Coturnix japonica: one gene and its partners. The protein of the gene in region 3 purifies or fractionates together with the protein of the main gene of each other region. This does not show direct contact. Links are inferred from orthologs where the notes say so. Each region holds a gene or a part of one and is shown on either strand. Other genes may lie near its edges.

What was found. Proteins that work in one complex are often made in the same cells at the same time.
Region 1: the proteins of FBXW7 (region 3) and RBX1 purify together in Homo sapiens (affinity purification with western blotting; 8 studies listed by BioGRID and IntAct, with this or other methods). This does not show direct contact. The link is inferred for Coturnix japonica from reciprocal best matches to the Homo sapiens genes FBXW7 and RBX1.
Region 2: the proteins of FBXW7 (region 3) and FBXO45 purify together in Homo sapiens (affinity purification with mass spectrometry; 4 studies listed by BioGRID and IntAct, counting the BioPlex papers as one, with this or other methods). This does not show direct contact. The link is inferred for Coturnix japonica from reciprocal best matches to the Homo sapiens genes FBXW7 and FBXO45.
Region 4: the proteins of FBXW7 (region 3) and MYCBP2 purify together in Homo sapiens (affinity purification with mass spectrometry; 6 studies listed by BioGRID and IntAct, counting the BioPlex papers as one, with this or other methods). This does not show direct contact. The link is inferred for Coturnix japonica from reciprocal best matches to the Homo sapiens genes FBXW7 and MYCBP2.

Annotation. Positions count from the first base shown.
Region 1 is NC_029516.1:45,482,598-45,486,591, reverse strand, and holds the start of RBX1 (E3 ubiquitin-protein ligase RBX1), read left to right. Parts: upstream 1-1,194; 5' UTR 1,195-1,209; coding exon 1,210-1,338; intron 1,339-2,139; coding exon 2,140-2,218; intron 2,219-3,994. UniProt on the Homo sapiens protein: E3 ubiquitin ligase component of multiple cullin-RING-based E3 ubiquitin-protein ligase (CRLs) complexes which mediate the ubiquitination and subsequent proteasomal degradation of target proteins, including proteins involved in cell cycle progression, signal transduction, transcription and transcription-coupled nucleotide excision repair.
Region 2 is NC_029524.1:3,579,950-3,583,989, reverse strand, and holds the start of FBXO45 (F-box/SPRY domain-containing protein 1), read left to right. Parts: upstream 1-1,240; 5' UTR 1,241-1,447; coding exon 1,448-1,699; intron 1,700-1,779; coding exon 1,780-2,136; intron 2,137-4,006; coding exon 4,007-4,040. Other genes in the region: WDR53 (WD repeat-containing protein 53), read right to left, coding at 697-1,176. UniProt on the Homo sapiens protein: Component of E3 ubiquitin ligase complex consisting of FBXO45, MYCBP2 and SKP1. Functions in substrate recognition but also plays an important role in assembly of the complex.
Region 3 is NC_029519.1:29,734,121-29,737,620, reverse strand, and holds part of FBXW7 (F-box/WD repeat-containing protein 7), read left to right. Parts: intron 1-1,011; coding exon 1,012-1,237; intron 1,238-3,500. UniProt on the Homo sapiens protein: Substrate recognition component of a SCF (SKP1-CUL1-F-box protein) E3 ubiquitin-protein ligase complex which mediates the ubiquitination and subsequent proteasomal degradation of target proteins.
Region 4 is NC_029516.1:138,282,556-138,286,747, forward strand, and holds the start of MYCBP2 (E3 ubiquitin-protein ligase MYCBP2), read left to right. Parts: upstream 1-1,392; 5' UTR 1,393-1,409; coding exon 1,410-2,137; intron 2,138-4,192. UniProt on the Homo sapiens protein: Atypical E3 ubiquitin-protein ligase which specifically mediates ubiquitination of threonine and serine residues on target proteins, instead of ubiquitinating lysine residues.

The sequences.
Region 1 (3,994 bases), on a different chromosome or scaffold from region 3:
CCATGAAATGCTGCAACTCGTTCCTCTCTCTGAATCTCATCTGTTCATCTTAGTCAGATTATGGGGAGCGGGAGGCTTCATTTCTCACCTGAGGTTTTAGTAACAGATTGAAAAAACAATGGCACTACATGGGAATATAATGTGACCATCATCTAGAAAACACACAGAGGCAGAGGGATTGGGTTCATGCAGAAACCAACCATGATCTGGGCCAAAAAACTATGGGATATATTGCTTAATCTACCCCTCTGGCTCTGTTCTTAGAATTCAAATTTTCTCTGAGCACTCCAGATCAGCTGGGGATGCTACAGAGTATTGAAGTTCCATGATATTCATGAACTCTGAGAAGTTTTGTGGCAATGTGGAAAGACGGTAAATGAGGTACCATTTGTGATGCTGTCTGTCTGGACACTCACAACAGCAAAGGCAAACTTAGCCAAATCAATTACTTTTAGTGGCATCAGCAATGGAGGGCAGCCAGCCAGCCCTACAGTTCTTTAAGGAGTTATAAAATGCACTTCATTTTTATAACCTCTGTACAATAAAGTATTGCTCTAAAAAGTGTTTCGGAGCACATGAATTCCTGCTTTCTTTCAGAACATTTTCATTCCTGAGTGCATCCTGAGCGCCCCAGAGACATCCCACACCACTGGGGTAGCACTGAGGCTGATATGGTACAAAGGATATGCAGCTCAGCTCAGCCCACCTGAGGGGCTGGGAAGGGAGCAAGGGCTGAAGAGCAAGGCAACCTCCTCCCTTAAAAAGGCTCTGCCGGGGACGGAGGGGTGTGTGTGGGGGGGGGGGGGGGGGGGTAAGGGCAGGCCCTGGCGGAAGCCCCGCCTACACCTTCCGCTCACACCTCCCTGCGGCCCCTTCCGCCGCGCATGCGCACAGAGCGGAACGGCCTATTCACGCATCCAAAATGGCGGCTGCGATGGATGTGGACACCCCCAGCGGCACCAACAGCGGCGCCGGCAAGAAGCGCTTCGAAGTGAAGAAAGTGAGACCTGCTGGCGTGGCGCGCTCTACCCGGCCGGTCCCAGCGGGAGGAGGGAGGTCGGGAGCGGCCAGGTGGCCGCGAGCGGGTCGGGGCGCTGAGCCGCTTTCCGCGCCCCCTCACGGAGCCGGGCGTTGCTTCCGCACCGGCACCGCCGTATGAGGGGAGGGGGGGGCGGTGCTTGCGGAGTCTATTGGCGTGTGTCGGGGCCAATGGGTGAGACGGGTCTCCGCGCGTGGAACGGAGGTTGGCCAATCAGAGGGCGCGACCACGCGGGGAGGAGGAGGGAGAGAGGCGAGGCGGGGCTAGTTCTGGCTGGGCCCCGCCGCCCAGAGCCGAGGGTAATGCCGGGCTTAGGGGCGAGTCGGTGCGCTGCTGTTGCCTCCTCAGTCCCGGCTGCTTTGGCTCAGTTGTCTTAGTGGCCCTACGTGATGTGAAGGGAGCTTTGCACGCATTTGTGTGGCTGCTTCTTTTTGTATTCTTCACAAATCAACTCGTAGGTGACCAACAAATGCTGTCTTGTCATCCCGGTTTGCTTTGCTTCCCCCAAACAACCATAATATCCCTCTTTGGCCTAACAACCATAATATCCCTCTTTGACCTACCCTCTCCAGTGTGGCTGCGAGCTGAATGGTGGTGAAAGATCCCAAGTTCACTTCAACGAGGCCCGGAGGTGGTTAGGAGCACTTTGTGGGAGCACTTTTGATATTGTATATTTTTTGCAATGAAAATGATTCAGGAGTCGCTGAGGGGCAAAGTTAGAGGTGATTCTGGTTGTTGGCCCCAGCTGCTCTGAGGGATGATTACTGGGAAAACAGCTACAAACAAGAGAAGTTCCAAACTGAGGATGTGGCGTGAGATGCATTCTTGCCTCCAGATTATGAATTGAAATGCAGATGTTTGCATTTGTATGGCAAAAAAAAGAGAGTGGGACTAGTATCAATTGTTTCTGAGACTGGAAGGAGGCACTGAGTGTGAGAGGTATCTGAGAAAGAATTACTCTGGTGCTGTAAGGTGTGTGTCTTTTAATATCCTAACCTTATCATTTCAGAAAGAAAGAGGATCTTGAGGAATAATGAGGATTTCCATGTGTTATATGTTGAATAAAATTTATGTTTCTCTTTTTTCCCCCCTCACTCTAGTGGAATGCAGTAGCTCTGTGGGCGTGGGACATTGTGGTTGATAACTGTGCCATCTGCAGAAACCATATTATGGATCTATGTAAGTAAATGATGGGGAAGCGTGCTTACAGTTTTGACATGTACAAGATTCACAGTTGAAATTTCCACTGCTCAGGGTGCATTTCAGCAAATCTGGTTTTCAGTTCAGAATGAAGTCTTTCGGTAACACTATAAACTCTGTTCTATGTAGTGCTCAAGTTCTGCTTTCTGTGTCTGACTGACCAGAAAAGATTCAGGCCACTGAATTTTTGACTCCTCATTCTGCCAAAGCTACTTTGCCTAAATTAGGGTTATAGTGTGGGGAATTCTGTGGCCAGCTAGAGAATCCGTTTGTTATCTATGAAGAGAATAATCTAATGCCTAAACCAACACCAAGCATTGCTAGTACTAATTCACCTTTTTTTTCCCCCCTGTATGGTCCCAACAGTCCTGTTAACAAATACACTTACTATTTAGGAAAACAAAGTGGTAGTAGGAGTAAGTATAAAAAATTCTACTGTGAAATAGGTATCCATATATAAAGTCACCGGCTTTGGTCTAATTGAGGATTGGCAATAAGAACAGAGCCATTTTTTTTTCCCCTCAAATCTTTGGCAATATATGGTTGGCACCGTAACTGTCCATGTTCTTTCAATGATAAGATACAGAACACCTTTTAACATCCCCCAGATAGGAAGTCACCTGTACTACTAAAATGGGAGGATTGTGGTACCTCAAAAAGCAAGACCTTCAGTACCTGACAAGGGCTAGTCATGATTTCTTTGTGGTCGCTTTGTTTCACTTTCTTCTTAGTAGCCCTTGCAAGTACAGCTGATGGTAACTTACTGTTAGTGAGCCAATGTGATAATATAAAAGAGCAGGGGAAAAGAAAAAGAGGCTGTGCAGTGTACCATGCAGGGCTGAAAGGGGATTAAGCAAGCTGACTTCTTTGCTTTGAGTCAGATGTGTTCTATTTTGAGCCAGCTGCTGCCTGTCCATCGCTCACTTTATTCTTGATCATTAGAAGAGGAATGGTAGCACTAAAGGCAAGCAGGTGAGAGGAGTGGTTGTGACATGTGCTGAGGACCTCTGACATAGTGCTTTACAGTTAAGAATTGAGGTTGGGTGGAATTGAAAGAATATAGACGTGTTAGGAAGAACTTCAAAGGAAGAGAGCACAGGTAACTTAGTTTTTGTTTTGTTTTGCTTTTTGAGTTGCTCAAGCATAACACCTTATTAGTTAGGGCATAATCAATGCTATCAAAAGCCCAAACTGCAAATGATGGACCAAAATTGACAGTATACAGAGTAGAAGCGGTATCTAAATTGGTGTTCTGAGTTCAGCCTTGGCTCTGGATTTACTTACTTCCTTGTTAACGATCATTAATGATGTTAAGCAACATCTTAATTAGATTTTCAAACCGAAGATGTGAAGTGATGGGAAATAGAGAAAAAATTACTAGATTGTGCAGGGAAGAACAACACAAGATTCAGTTTGATAAAGTGCAGGGCAGGAATGTCTCCCTCTCCCACTGATGAGGAGAAACCTTAAAAGGGAAAACATTACAATGGTGATAAGTAACACCAGCCACGCTAATGGAAGATTGTTAACATTATGAAGTCGAGCATCCAAAAGTTAGGATATAACAATGTTAAGGTTTCGTGCAGTCTTGCTAATGCACATACATTACGACTTGGCTGCTAATACTAAGGACAAAGGATTCCCCTGGCCCTCACTATGGCTCATGTTCGGCACATAGAAGGGATGAGTAGATTTTCAGTGGTTTTTGTTCATTTCTGAAAGGGCCCAGAATGTATTTAGATTTTCTTTGTGCAA
Region 2 (4,040 bases), on a different chromosome or scaffold from region 3:
ACTTCAAAGAACACCAGCTGTAGTTCCCCTAACACCGCCTGAACCACAGAGACCTTTGTACAAGTGACAGTTTGCATCTCGGGCTAAAACAGGAACGTGGTCAGACCTCAACCACGGGAAGGGAAGTCCTGGGGGGTGGGGGGGTGTCCGGCCCAGAGCACAGGAGCTGAGCGGAGGCCTCGTGGCAGCTGCAGCTCATAGGGAGCAGATGGGCAGCGCTGAGCTCAGCTCGGTGTGACAGCGACAGGGCCCGAGGGAACGGCATGGAGCTGTGCTGGGGAGGGGGCACCGACAGGGTGTGACACACGGGGACAAGGCAGAGAAGTGTAAAAGGCAAAGAACATTCAGCACGGAATTCTGCAGGGGGTGAGCTCAGTAACACGCTCAGAGCAGCCAGGTAGTTCTGTGTGTGCGTTCAGCACTCTGGCTGCCATCTGCTCTGCCTTGGGCACTTTGTTTTCCTCAGGCAGCTCTGCCCGCAGCCATTCACTCGGTGTAAGTGCAGGCTCCACACGGTGGGACAGCGCTGCTGCGGGCACGGCTGCTCCGCGCTGCCCCTGCATTGCCCCGTGCCGACCACATCCACGCTGCGATGAATGAAGCTCGGCACGACCCCGCGCCGCAGCTGGGCCCCACGCCCTGACCCGGGTGGAGCAGCGCGCAGCCCGGAGCCACCTGCCCCCATTACAAAGTCACCTGCATGTCCAGCCCGCACGACACGAGGCTGCGCGGCCTCTGCGGCCGGAAGGCGACGGAGGAGCAGATGTTGTGGTGCCGCAGGGAGCGGATCACTTTGTTGCCGTCCAGATCCACCACCTTGACGGCCCCGGAATCGTCCGCCGCGGCCAGGAGGGTCCCGTCGTGGCTGCTGGCCAGGCAGTCGATCTCGTCCTCGTTGAAGCGGAGCCGCTCCACGGGCTCCCGCGGCGCCCGCACGTCCAGCACCGCCACGGCCGGGCCGTGCGCGGCGTACAGGAGGTGCGGGCGGCGCGGGGAGAACGACAGCGCCGCCACGTCGTGCTCGGCGGGGTTGAGGCGCAGCAGCCCCGCGGACACGCCGTCCCGGCCCCACAGCGCCAGCTCGCCGCGCTCGGCCCCCGAGGCCACGGGCCCGTCGGTGCCGGCGGCGATGCAGAGCACGGAGCCGCAGTGCGCGCCGTGCCACCGGGCCGCCATGATGGCCGGCAGCGCGGGGACGCCGCTCTCGGGGCGGACGCCGGCTCGGCGCATGCGCGGCGGGCGGCTCGGGGCGGGCGGTGATGGCGGCGCGCGCCCCCTCGCCTTGAGGCCTCGGCCGGGCGGGCGGAGCGCTGGGCACCGACCCGCCGCTACCGGCACCGCCCGCTGACGGGAAGGGAAGAAGGGAAGGAAGGGCAGGAAGGGCCGCTCGGCTCCCGCGGCGCCGCCCCCCCACTGCCCCCCGGTCCAACCCCCTGCGCGGGGGGCGATGGCGGCGGGGCCCGGCGGCGGGGCGGCGGGGGGAGCGGGGTGGCGGCTGCCGGGCCGGGTGCTGGAGCTGGTGTTCTCGTACCTGGAGCTGCGCGAGCTGCGGAGCTGCGCGCTGGTGTGCAAGCTGTGGCACCACGTCCTGCACGGCGACGAGAACAGCGAGGTGTGGCGCAGCCTGGCCGCGCGCTGCCTGGCCGAGGAGGCGCTGCGCACCGACATCCTCTGCAACGTGCCCACATACAAGGGCAAGGTGAGCGCCAAGCCCGAACCCCCCGCGCGGCCGCGACGCCCCCCGCGGCCTGACCCCCCTGTTGGCTCCCCCCGCCTTAGGTCCGTGCCTTCCACCACGCCTTCAGCACCAACGACTGCTCCCGGAACGTGTACATCAAGAAGAACGGCTTCACTCTGCACCGCAACCCCATCGCCCAGAGCACCGACGGCGCCAGGACCAAGATCGGCTTCAGCGAGGGCCGGCACGCCTGGGAGGTGTGGTGGGAAGGGCCGCTGGGCACCGTGGCCGTCATCGGCATCGCCACGAAGCGGGCGGCCATGCAGTGCCAGGGCTACGTGGCCCTGCTGGGCAGCGACGACCAGAGCTGGGGCTGGAACCTGGTGGACAATAACTTGCTGCACAACGGGGAGGTCAACGGCAGCTTCCCGCAGTGCAACAACGCGCCCAAGTACCAGGTGAGCGGGCGGCCGGCCCTCCCTGCGCTCCCCGGTATCTTTATCTTAACAGGTATCACGGCTGTTCACACAACCCCTGTGTGGTTGGGTTGGAAGGTGCCTTACAGCAACCCTGCTCCCAATCCCTGCCGTGGGCTGGCTGCCCCCACCGGCTCAGGCTGCACAGGCCCCATCCAGCCCGGCCCTGAGCACCTCCAGGCTGCAGGAGGATGGGGCACCCACACTGCTCTGTGCATGATTCCTTTGTTTCTGCCTTCTTTCTCAAATACGTGTGGGTGTTATTAGAACACCGCATCCCCCGCTGCAACAAAAGCTGGCACTGCTCTCAGGAGCATTAAAGGGCCCAGCAGTGTCTGTTGACGGTGGGTGTTTCACCCCTGTGCTGTATGCACTGTGAGCACAGGCCGTGCTGACATAGGGCCCTCCTATGCCGTGCGCTGCTTGCTGGCTCTCTGGGCTCCTTCCCATGGGTGACATCCTTTGGCTGGGCCCTGACGTGTGGCTGATTTGGGGTTATCAAAGTACAGGTGCTGCTCCGCTGTTGTGTCTCGCAGCGAGTGTTTATCTTTGTTCTGGTTCCTGCACAGCTGCCTTTGGACTGATGGTTTTCCTCACGTTGCATCTTCAGCCGTGTTGCAGCTCAATTCCAATCTCACAGCGTCACGGTTTGGGATGAATAATGCCTTGTGCTTCAGCTGTACGTGAAGATCTTGGCATTAACTCAAGGCTGATATTTCTACATCCCATATAAAAGCTCACTGCCGAGCACTCAGCTCAGTCTGGAAATGATATCTGCCATTTTTGCTATTGAGAAGTAAATGTGGATCAAAGAGAATTGGCCCTTTCCATCCCTGCCCATTGGCAGCCCCTTCCTGCTGCCCCTGTCTGGGCCTTTCTGTGCAGCAGGATGAGGAGAGGTTTTAAAGCCAGGAGAGCTCCCATGGGGCCTGCAGGCTGAGCTGCGCTTCCTTCTTAAGAACTGGTGAGGGCTTGAATCAGCAATTTGTATTTGCTAAGATGTAGAATCACAGAGTTGTACACAGACGGTCACCTGCTCATAGGAGACACGCTGCAGGGAGACACGCACTTGTTAGCATTGGTTAGAAGCAAAATATATTGGCTGGAAGGAATCCCTGGCGCTGCGGTTGTCTGGTGGAGGAGCACAAGTTTGTGCTATCTCATGCTGCATTTGCTGCTGGTGCCTCTCCCTTCTGTTTATATTTGAAAGCAGCAAGTGCAGGATAAACATGGGGAGCATCCCATGCACCGTGCCCCAAACCTGTTGCATTTGGTGTTGGTTTTACCCACACATGTGTATCTATACTGTAGGTTTTGTGTACCCATCTTGCCAAAGATTTGCACTGAATTCTTTTTATGCCTTGCTAAGGGAGCACCGCCGTCAGCTTGTGCCATCAGAATGTGTTCTGGGGATACTCCACACCTGGCTTTTACCTTTAAAACAACTCATCTAACGTTGCTCTTTGTAGGCTCTGCTGGTCACTGCTGGCAACAGAGCCCTGGTAACTTGGGGCTATTGGAAATGTTCAGGCTCCTGCTGTGTTCTGGAGCAGAGCTCTTGCTTGTGCTGCTGCTGCAAGGTCCACTTTGATGGGCTGTGTCTGATGCTGGGAGGGTGCTTAGGCCTGGGCTGCCTGCAGGAACAGGCAGCAGATGTACGGGGTCCATACGAGAGGAATGGAGACATCTCTGTTGTGAAAGCACCGAGGAAAGCCTCGCTTTAACCTGATCTGTGTTATCCACGGATTTTGCTTTGGTTTTTGGGTTGTTTTGTTGGTGTTTCCATCTGAATATATTGACTCTTTCCTCTTTTTTTGTTTCTTCTCCCTCTTCTTCCCATCTCTGTTTCCAGATAGGCGAAAGGATTCGAGTTATCCTGGACATGG
Region 3 (3,500 bases):
ACTTGTTAAATTGGGGTGTCTGATCAGACACTGAGTGAAATACAAAACAGGCGGAGCATCCAAACTAAAGTATGCCAGTTGACTAAGGGAGGAGATTATTAACTGAAGCAAAGGCATATGGATATTAATTAAAGAACAGAAAACTAAGAGAGTCAGGAACTTTATAAAGCTGTCTTTTACCTTATTCTAAAACTCATTCTTCATTACAACCCGATCCAGTCTACCACAGCAAATAATTTATTCTTAGCTTTTTGTACGTTACAGACTTTTACTCTCTCTGCAGAGTGACTTTAGTATTGTTGGTGCGGTTCTTTATCAACATTTTAACTTACTGTATCATCATTTCTGCGGTAGAAATTCATGTCTTGGTTCAAGGAACATTGGCAGAGTTACTTGGCTGTGGCACGGTGCTGTTGTCAGAGTGCCTGTTGGTTACATTTCTCTTTTTTGAAGAATGCTGAGGTTTTTCTTTATCTGTGCCATTAATATTAATTCCTTCTCACTTTTAAAATTGTGCTTGCCTAAAAAGGCTTTTAAAAGTATAAACTGAAAAAAAAAGCAAACAAGCAGAATAATCATTCCTTTGCTAAAAGTATAACTTCTAAAGAAGGATCTTCTTTAATTGTTATAATTAGTTAATTCAGTCATTTAAGCAGGATGCTCAAAGTGCTAATTTGAACTCGGCATATTCATAAGCTTTCATGGATGGATACAATGGTCCACATAGTTTCTCGTGGCATCATTTTGCTGTTCATGACTGAAGTGCTTTTTAAATAGATTGCTAATTATATCAAATGGATCCTGGAGAGACAAGCAGAGCAAGGAAGAAATGCACTCAAGTCATTTGCAACCCTGATGAACTGTTGTGTCAAACCAGATCTTCGGTGGCTAGCGGACAAATGCTATCTAGTGTTCCAGATGAAAACTTGTAACTGATTTATAACTATCTCATTGTTTTAATGCTCTTATTTCCAACGCTAAATATAGGAGGGGTTTTTTTTGTTCCTCCAGAGTGGTCAGTGGTTCTCGAGATGCTACACTGAGAGTTTGGGACATAGAGACGGGCCAGTGTTTACATGTTCTGATGGGCCACGTAGCTGCAGTTCGATGCGTTCAGTATGACGGAAGAAGGGTTGTAAGTGGTGCATATGATTTTATGGTCAAAGTGTGGGATCCAGAGACCGAGACCTGTCTGCACACGCTGCAAGGGCATACTAACAGAGTCTATTCATTACAGGTAAGTGATTTTCATCTGCTGCTTATATGAACATGGTGTATTTTACCTTCTTTAATAAACTGCAAATCCTTGCTCCAGAATTATACAGACCATGAAAATACTGGGGCTTAGGTCATATTCCCCTTTTCCATTTTTTCATCTTCGTCGTATGTTGCTTTAATTTAGAGGCTGTGGGTTTTTTGTTTTTTTTTTGTTTTTTGTTTTTTGTTTTTTTTTTTAAAGAGTACTTTTAAAGTCCATAATACAATAAAGCCCAAATCTCTGTCCTGGCAAGTTATGTACTTTTCTAGAGCTTGGGATTGTTTGTTAGGCGTTTTTTAAATGTTGTATTGGTTTCCCCAAAAGAAGTTCTAATGTTACTATTTAAATACATTAGCTAATACAGTATTTGAAAATGTGCCAGAAACCCCATTGGATTAATGTTCTGAATTAAGCAAATCTGTTCATCCTTATTTTGTAGTCACATCCTCTAGTTCCAAACTGTAATTCATAGTAAGGATGAACCTAAAACTTAATGCCCTGACTTAAGTATTTGTTTTATTGGTTCTGAGCAAAGGCTGCATCTACAGTTCTGAGGCTTTGTCTGCAGAGACATGTTGCTGTAGATGCAGATCATTCTTGGTACCAGTGTACGGCATGGCCAGTTTACCTCTTGCCTGACTTCACCACAGTTATGCTGGCAAAGTCATACACAGACCTCATGTCAACTCTTCTTACCTTTACTATTCCAAAAGATATCTTGTTCATTCACTGAACATCATTTCCAGGCACTGAAAGGAGAACAAAATTAATGTCATGCATGTGCCTGTTCTCACTGCAGTCTGGCAGAACTCAAAAAAGAAATAAACAACAAATTCAGCTCCCAGCTGGGAAACTGCATTCAGCGTGTAACTAGTCTGGTTGGTGGCACAGAAAATGAAGCTGCAGACGTTTTTAATAAATGTTATCATCAAAAGGTGCTTTTCACCATAATAGATCAAATGGTTTTCTATTTTAAAATGTATAGCAAAATTTATCAAAAATCACCATCCCTTCTCCTTCGTTCATGGGCTGCGGAGTATTTGAGACAAGCAGCAAACAGGTTAAAAATGCTGCACCACCTACCTCATATTATGGTTTTATCTGCAGCAGTTTGAGAACAGTGCACGTTATCTTCACTGGTGGCTCTTGTTCCAGTTGGCAAATATAAGTGTCTTACTCTACTAATGGAGTAGTAGAGGGTCAAGTAATTGGGTTATGTTGATCATGCTGGTAGTATTTATAGCTTGTAAGTGGAACTTGGAGAGGCAGAAGGCTACAGGTGCTTAGAGCTTTAGGACTTTCAAGTTTGTTGAAATTGAAAGGTAAGCTCCTGCTGAAACAGCCCATGAGTAGAATAATGAGGCTGAACAGTGTGCCTGTCTTCCCCACTCCTGCCCCATTGTGAATTCTCTTACGTTTCAGTATTTCCCCATTTGCGACCCCCCCAGACAATTGTTAGAGATCTTTAATGCCACAGTTTAAGAGTACTAATCCGGTTGCCTTTTCTTAGTCACCTTTCTCAGTTGCCTTTGTCATAGTCCACAGATTGTCAGGACCCTCAGAAAACACAGTACAGCCACTGATCTGAACCACTGTCTGTTTAACTGCAGCAATATTGAAGTAGTTTGTCTTTACACTCAGCCTTAAGGCTTTCTTTCTGAATACTTTATGCAAGTAGAATACAGGTAAATGACAGGAGAGAGGAGGTTTTTTTTTTTGTGTTTTTTCTTTTTTGCATCAGTCTTTCTTTAAGTCCAGCTTAGGAAAGAAAAACATTCTGTAGTGTTCCTTGCAGCAAGTGTGCTGGCTGCTCACCATTCCTGATCCATTTATCCAAAGTCAAATTAGTTCACATGCTTTTTTGAAAGCATAGTGCAGAAAACAGGATGCAAAATTCTAGTCAAAGTCTTAGCAATGCCTGCTGTAATGGAGAAGTTACTTTATGTATATTGTGTAGCATATCCCTATTTTGGATACCAGAGTGTGTGTTTTTTTAGTGTATTTTCACTGGAACTGCAATGTATTCCAGTCAGCAGGCTGCACGTGCCAGTTGCTCTCTAAATCTTCTGAACCAAAGTGTCACTCAGCCATGACTGCAGGTAGAGATCTGAGGTGTTCTAAGATGCAAGAGGTTTTACAAAAAGAAGCAGTCGGATAGCCGGGTTCTTTCTTCTCTTGTTACTAGATACCAGCAAGCCCACATGGACAAGTAGTGCTAGTTTGCTCTGGCTATCCCAGGCTG
Region 4 (4,192 bases), on a different chromosome or scaffold from region 3:
TCAGAAAGCAACATGTTCTCAGTGATGCCACCAATCTGGCTGTCTTTGTTACCAGGCCAGCTATTCCAAAGAAAACCTGTACAGTTTATTATCTTTTGCATCCTTCATTCTCTGTACAAAGTATTTGAAATTTAGTGTGAACATATAAGCGTATAGGAGCATTGCAAAGATGACAGTTGCATAGTTTATTTGTATTTTCTGTTACACAGAAAGTTGTTTGCTATTCTGTCTATACGGATAGAGCCCTGAAAGAGGGCTGTTCCAAAAGCAGTGCCTTCTATTTTACGTTGGCCTATGATGTCAGAGGCAGATGTTGATGTCACGGCAGTAGAGGCTGAAACTTCCTACCACTATCCCGTTACATGTTGTTGCCATGCAATAGGCCGCAGCAGAGGGACAGTCTGACAACATGGCGTCTGACATGCAAGTGTGAATGGAGCAGAAGTGTGTCACTGAATTCTTCCATGTGGAAAAAATGGCACCCACTGACATCCAATGATGCTTACTGAGCAATTGCGGAGACCAAACATTGGATGTGAGCAGAGTGAGGCACTGGGTGGTATGTTAGGAGATAGTCTTTTTTGCAGACTTAAATCCAAGCTGCTTTTTACATGCAGTCTTATTTTAGTATAGATTTTCTTCACTTTATTTTCACAGGACACACTATGATCTGTACGCTTGAAGCTTTCAGCTGGGTAAAACAGCAGAAAGGGTGACAGAACAGCAGAGCTAAAATTAAAAGAGATAAAAAGTGAAAATGAAAGAAATGAATGAAAGGAGGTAACAGAATATACTTTGTAAGGGTGCCTGCTGCAGTGCTTCCTTATCCTTTACAGACAGGCAAGGCATCCTGTGGCCAGCAAAGACTATCTAAATAAATTTTGGTTACACATAAGCATTGCATGTAGGGAGCCATGCGCTAAGAAGACATTGCTCCCTGCCAGGAGCCTGACCTGCTCTTGGACACAGCACAAAGGCCGTGGGGAGCCGGTGCCGCAGTAGGTCACATCAGCGCAAGGCCTCAAGGCGGAGCAGAGATCGTAGCATAAGGGGTCAACACGGTGACAGCCCCCTAGAACCGGGCGTTCTGCACAGCGAAAGAAAAGTACTCCCCTACGTGCTCGGCAAGCATGAGGGCTCTCCTCAGGCGCCCGTGGCCCACACAGTCACAGAATCACAGAATTGTAGGGGTTGGAAGGGACCTCTAGAGATCATCGAGTCCAACCCCCCTGCCAAAGCAGGCTCCCTACACCATGTCCCACAGGTAGGCGTCCAGTCGCTCGCCTCACACCGCCCTGAGGCGGCAGCACCCCTCCGCGCTGACAACCACCGCCGGCGGCTGTGGCAGGTGCGACACCCACCCGCCCGCCCCGCTCTTCCCGGGGGCCGCGCAGGAGGCGGGGCGGCGCATGCGCTTGGCTTGGGAGAGAGGTGGGGCCCGGGCGGCTGCGCGGCCAGGGCGGAGGCGCCGAGCAGAAACTCCGGAGAGGAAGCGGCAGCCGCTGGCCTCCGCCCCCTGTCGCGGGAGGAGGAAGCGAGCGGCCGGGCCGCCGGTCCCGAGGCGTACGGTGCTGCCCGGAGCTCGGTGCGCCCGCCTGCAGGAGAGAGCGGCGGCGGCCGGCACTGCGCCCGGGCCGGAGGGGCAGCCGGGGCCCAGCGCCCCGCCGAGGGGAGCAGCGGGCGCGTTTCCGCAGCCCGGCCCCGGCCCGAGTGGATGCGCAGCCCGCGGGGCTGCGGCGGCGGTGTCAGCGGCCTCCCCATGGCCGGGCCCCGGCGGTGAAGGCGACGGGAGCCGCCTGTGCGCGCGCCGGGCCGGCGGGCAGCGCAGCCACCAGGGGGCGGGCGGGGAGGGGATGAGCGCCGCAGCCGCCGCCTCTGCGGGAGCTGCCGTCGCCTCCTGCACCGGGGCAGAGGGCGGCTTCTTCTTCCTCTCCGGCGGCTCCGCTCCTGTGGGGGCCATGGGGCCCGAGGAGGGCTCCGGCGGCGCGCTGGGAGCCCTGCCCGGAGCCCTGCCGCCGCTGCCGGGCTGCCGGGGCCGCTACCAGCTGCTGCTCTCGGGGAAGGCCCTGGCCGACAGATACCGGAAGATTTACACGGCGGCGCTGAGCGACCGGGAGCTGGGCAGCCACCCGGGCAGGTAACGCGCTCCTCCTCCCCCACCCGCGGTGTTGTAGAGGCCCTTCCCCGAGCCGTCTTGTCGCTCGCCGCCCCGTGCCATGCGGCTGCTGCTGCGGATAACGCGGCCTCGGGGTGGGGGGAGCGGCGATGCGGCCACCGGGGTGCCGTCCCCGCCCTGCCGGCCCTACCGCCCGCCCTCCGGCACGGCGCAGATGGCGCTGCCGCCCCCGAGGCCGGTGGAGCGCTCACCTGCGGCCGCCTCCCCTCCCCCTTCCTCTGGCCCGGAGCGGGAGCACGCCCAGATCGAAACGGAGCTCTACATCCCCGCTCCTGCCTTCCCCAGGAGGCATCCAGGGCAGGCCACTGTCTCCTGGATGCCCCCGTGCCCAAACGTGGAGCCGTGCCGGTTGTCCCCCACCGTCCGGTGGTTGGAGAAGCCCTTTCCACAAGGAGGCGGCTGCCTCCGCCCGCCTGTTGCTCCGCCGCGGCTCACCTAGGCCGCTACACCGCAGCGCTGCGGGATGAGACGATGCGGGGCTGCCAGGAGGGGTGTGAGGAACCGTCGCCCCCGTTATCGGTCTGCACCGCTCCGCCTTCCCCGGCCTGGAGGAGCCCGTGCCGAGCCCTTTGTGTGAGGGGGCCGAAGGGTGGCGGTTCCTTGGCATCTCTCAGTGCCCGGGTGTGCCCCATTGTTCGACTCCGAAGGGTGTTGGGGTTGTGGATGGCACGAGAACCGGCGATTCGTGCGTGAGAATCCCTGATCGGTGTCAGACCGTGATGTGGGTGGGCCTGATCGTAGGTGACACTGAGGTTGCTGTTGTTGTAAGTTGGTGATGGCTGTAAGGCACGAGGTGGTTGGCATCTCTGCATGTGTTCTGCCTTTTTTGTCCTTATTTATTTATTTATTTTTAATTTTTATTTTTTGTTTTATGTCCGAGCTGAGAAGCTGGAGTTGTTCCCTAAAGAAGGGTGTGTATAGCAGGGGTGTGGTATAAGAAACTAGAAGAATAATGTAACTTTCCCAAAGGTTGCTCTTGGCTGGTGTCACAAACGTGGGTTTACAAACGTTATCATGTGGCATCTTTGTAATTACTGAGCTCTCTACATAGTATCTGACAGGGAAACTATACTTCTTTACACACATGTATATATGCAAACATAGTATTATATACATTGTGTCTGTGTGTATGGTGTGTGTATCTCTGTAGTGTGTATGGATGTACACTATTTCCATGCATAGTACCTTGCCAGAGTTTTCTTACCTTCGTTATCCCTTCACGTCTTCTTTTCCTGCTTTTGAGCACATAATCCTGCAAGTTCTCACTGTAAGGAAGTCTATGTTGAACTTTAATCAGACATGTGATTGTTCTGTGGCATTCAGACAGAACTACCTGAATCCTTACCTTGGCACATCTGTATTGCTTAAAACTGCAGTTTTGAATTTGTTTTGTCCTCAATGGTTTCTGGTTTCATCAGAATTAAACTGGTATCTTTTCAACATAGTGTTGTAGAAAATACCAGCTTTAAATTAGCGTCATTTTCCGTGTTTCTTTTAATTGACATACTTAATGTATTTACTTTTAACTCCGGGGTATCCTATGTTGTGTTCTTGCCGAGTCTGTTTTTGATTAACAGGTTATTGTGAGGCTGGCAATAAAAATAAACAGCAACATTGAAAAGTTACTGTGTATCTTTGGTATTGAAGACCAGATTTATTCACTTGTGGCTACATTGTGTCATCATAGAGCAAATCCAAGATGCCTGAATCCTCCAAATGGGGGAAACAGATTGTCTCAAGGTCAATGACTGCTAGTTACTTTTAGGGAATACAGCCAATACCGGGTAGTAGGACTTTTAAGAGGTTTAATGCTTTATTATTAGCTAGTGCTGATGTCTCTTGATACTGACCTCCAGCATCTCTTGTACTGGATGATGGAAGCCAACATACTGCTCATAATCTCCACCCTCCTTCTGTATCAGTGTCAAAACATTCCTGTTGAAGGTTTGTGATCTTCAGCTACTTAGAAGTATTTAAAAAGAAATTTCAAAAATGCAATCTAAAATTATCGTTTAT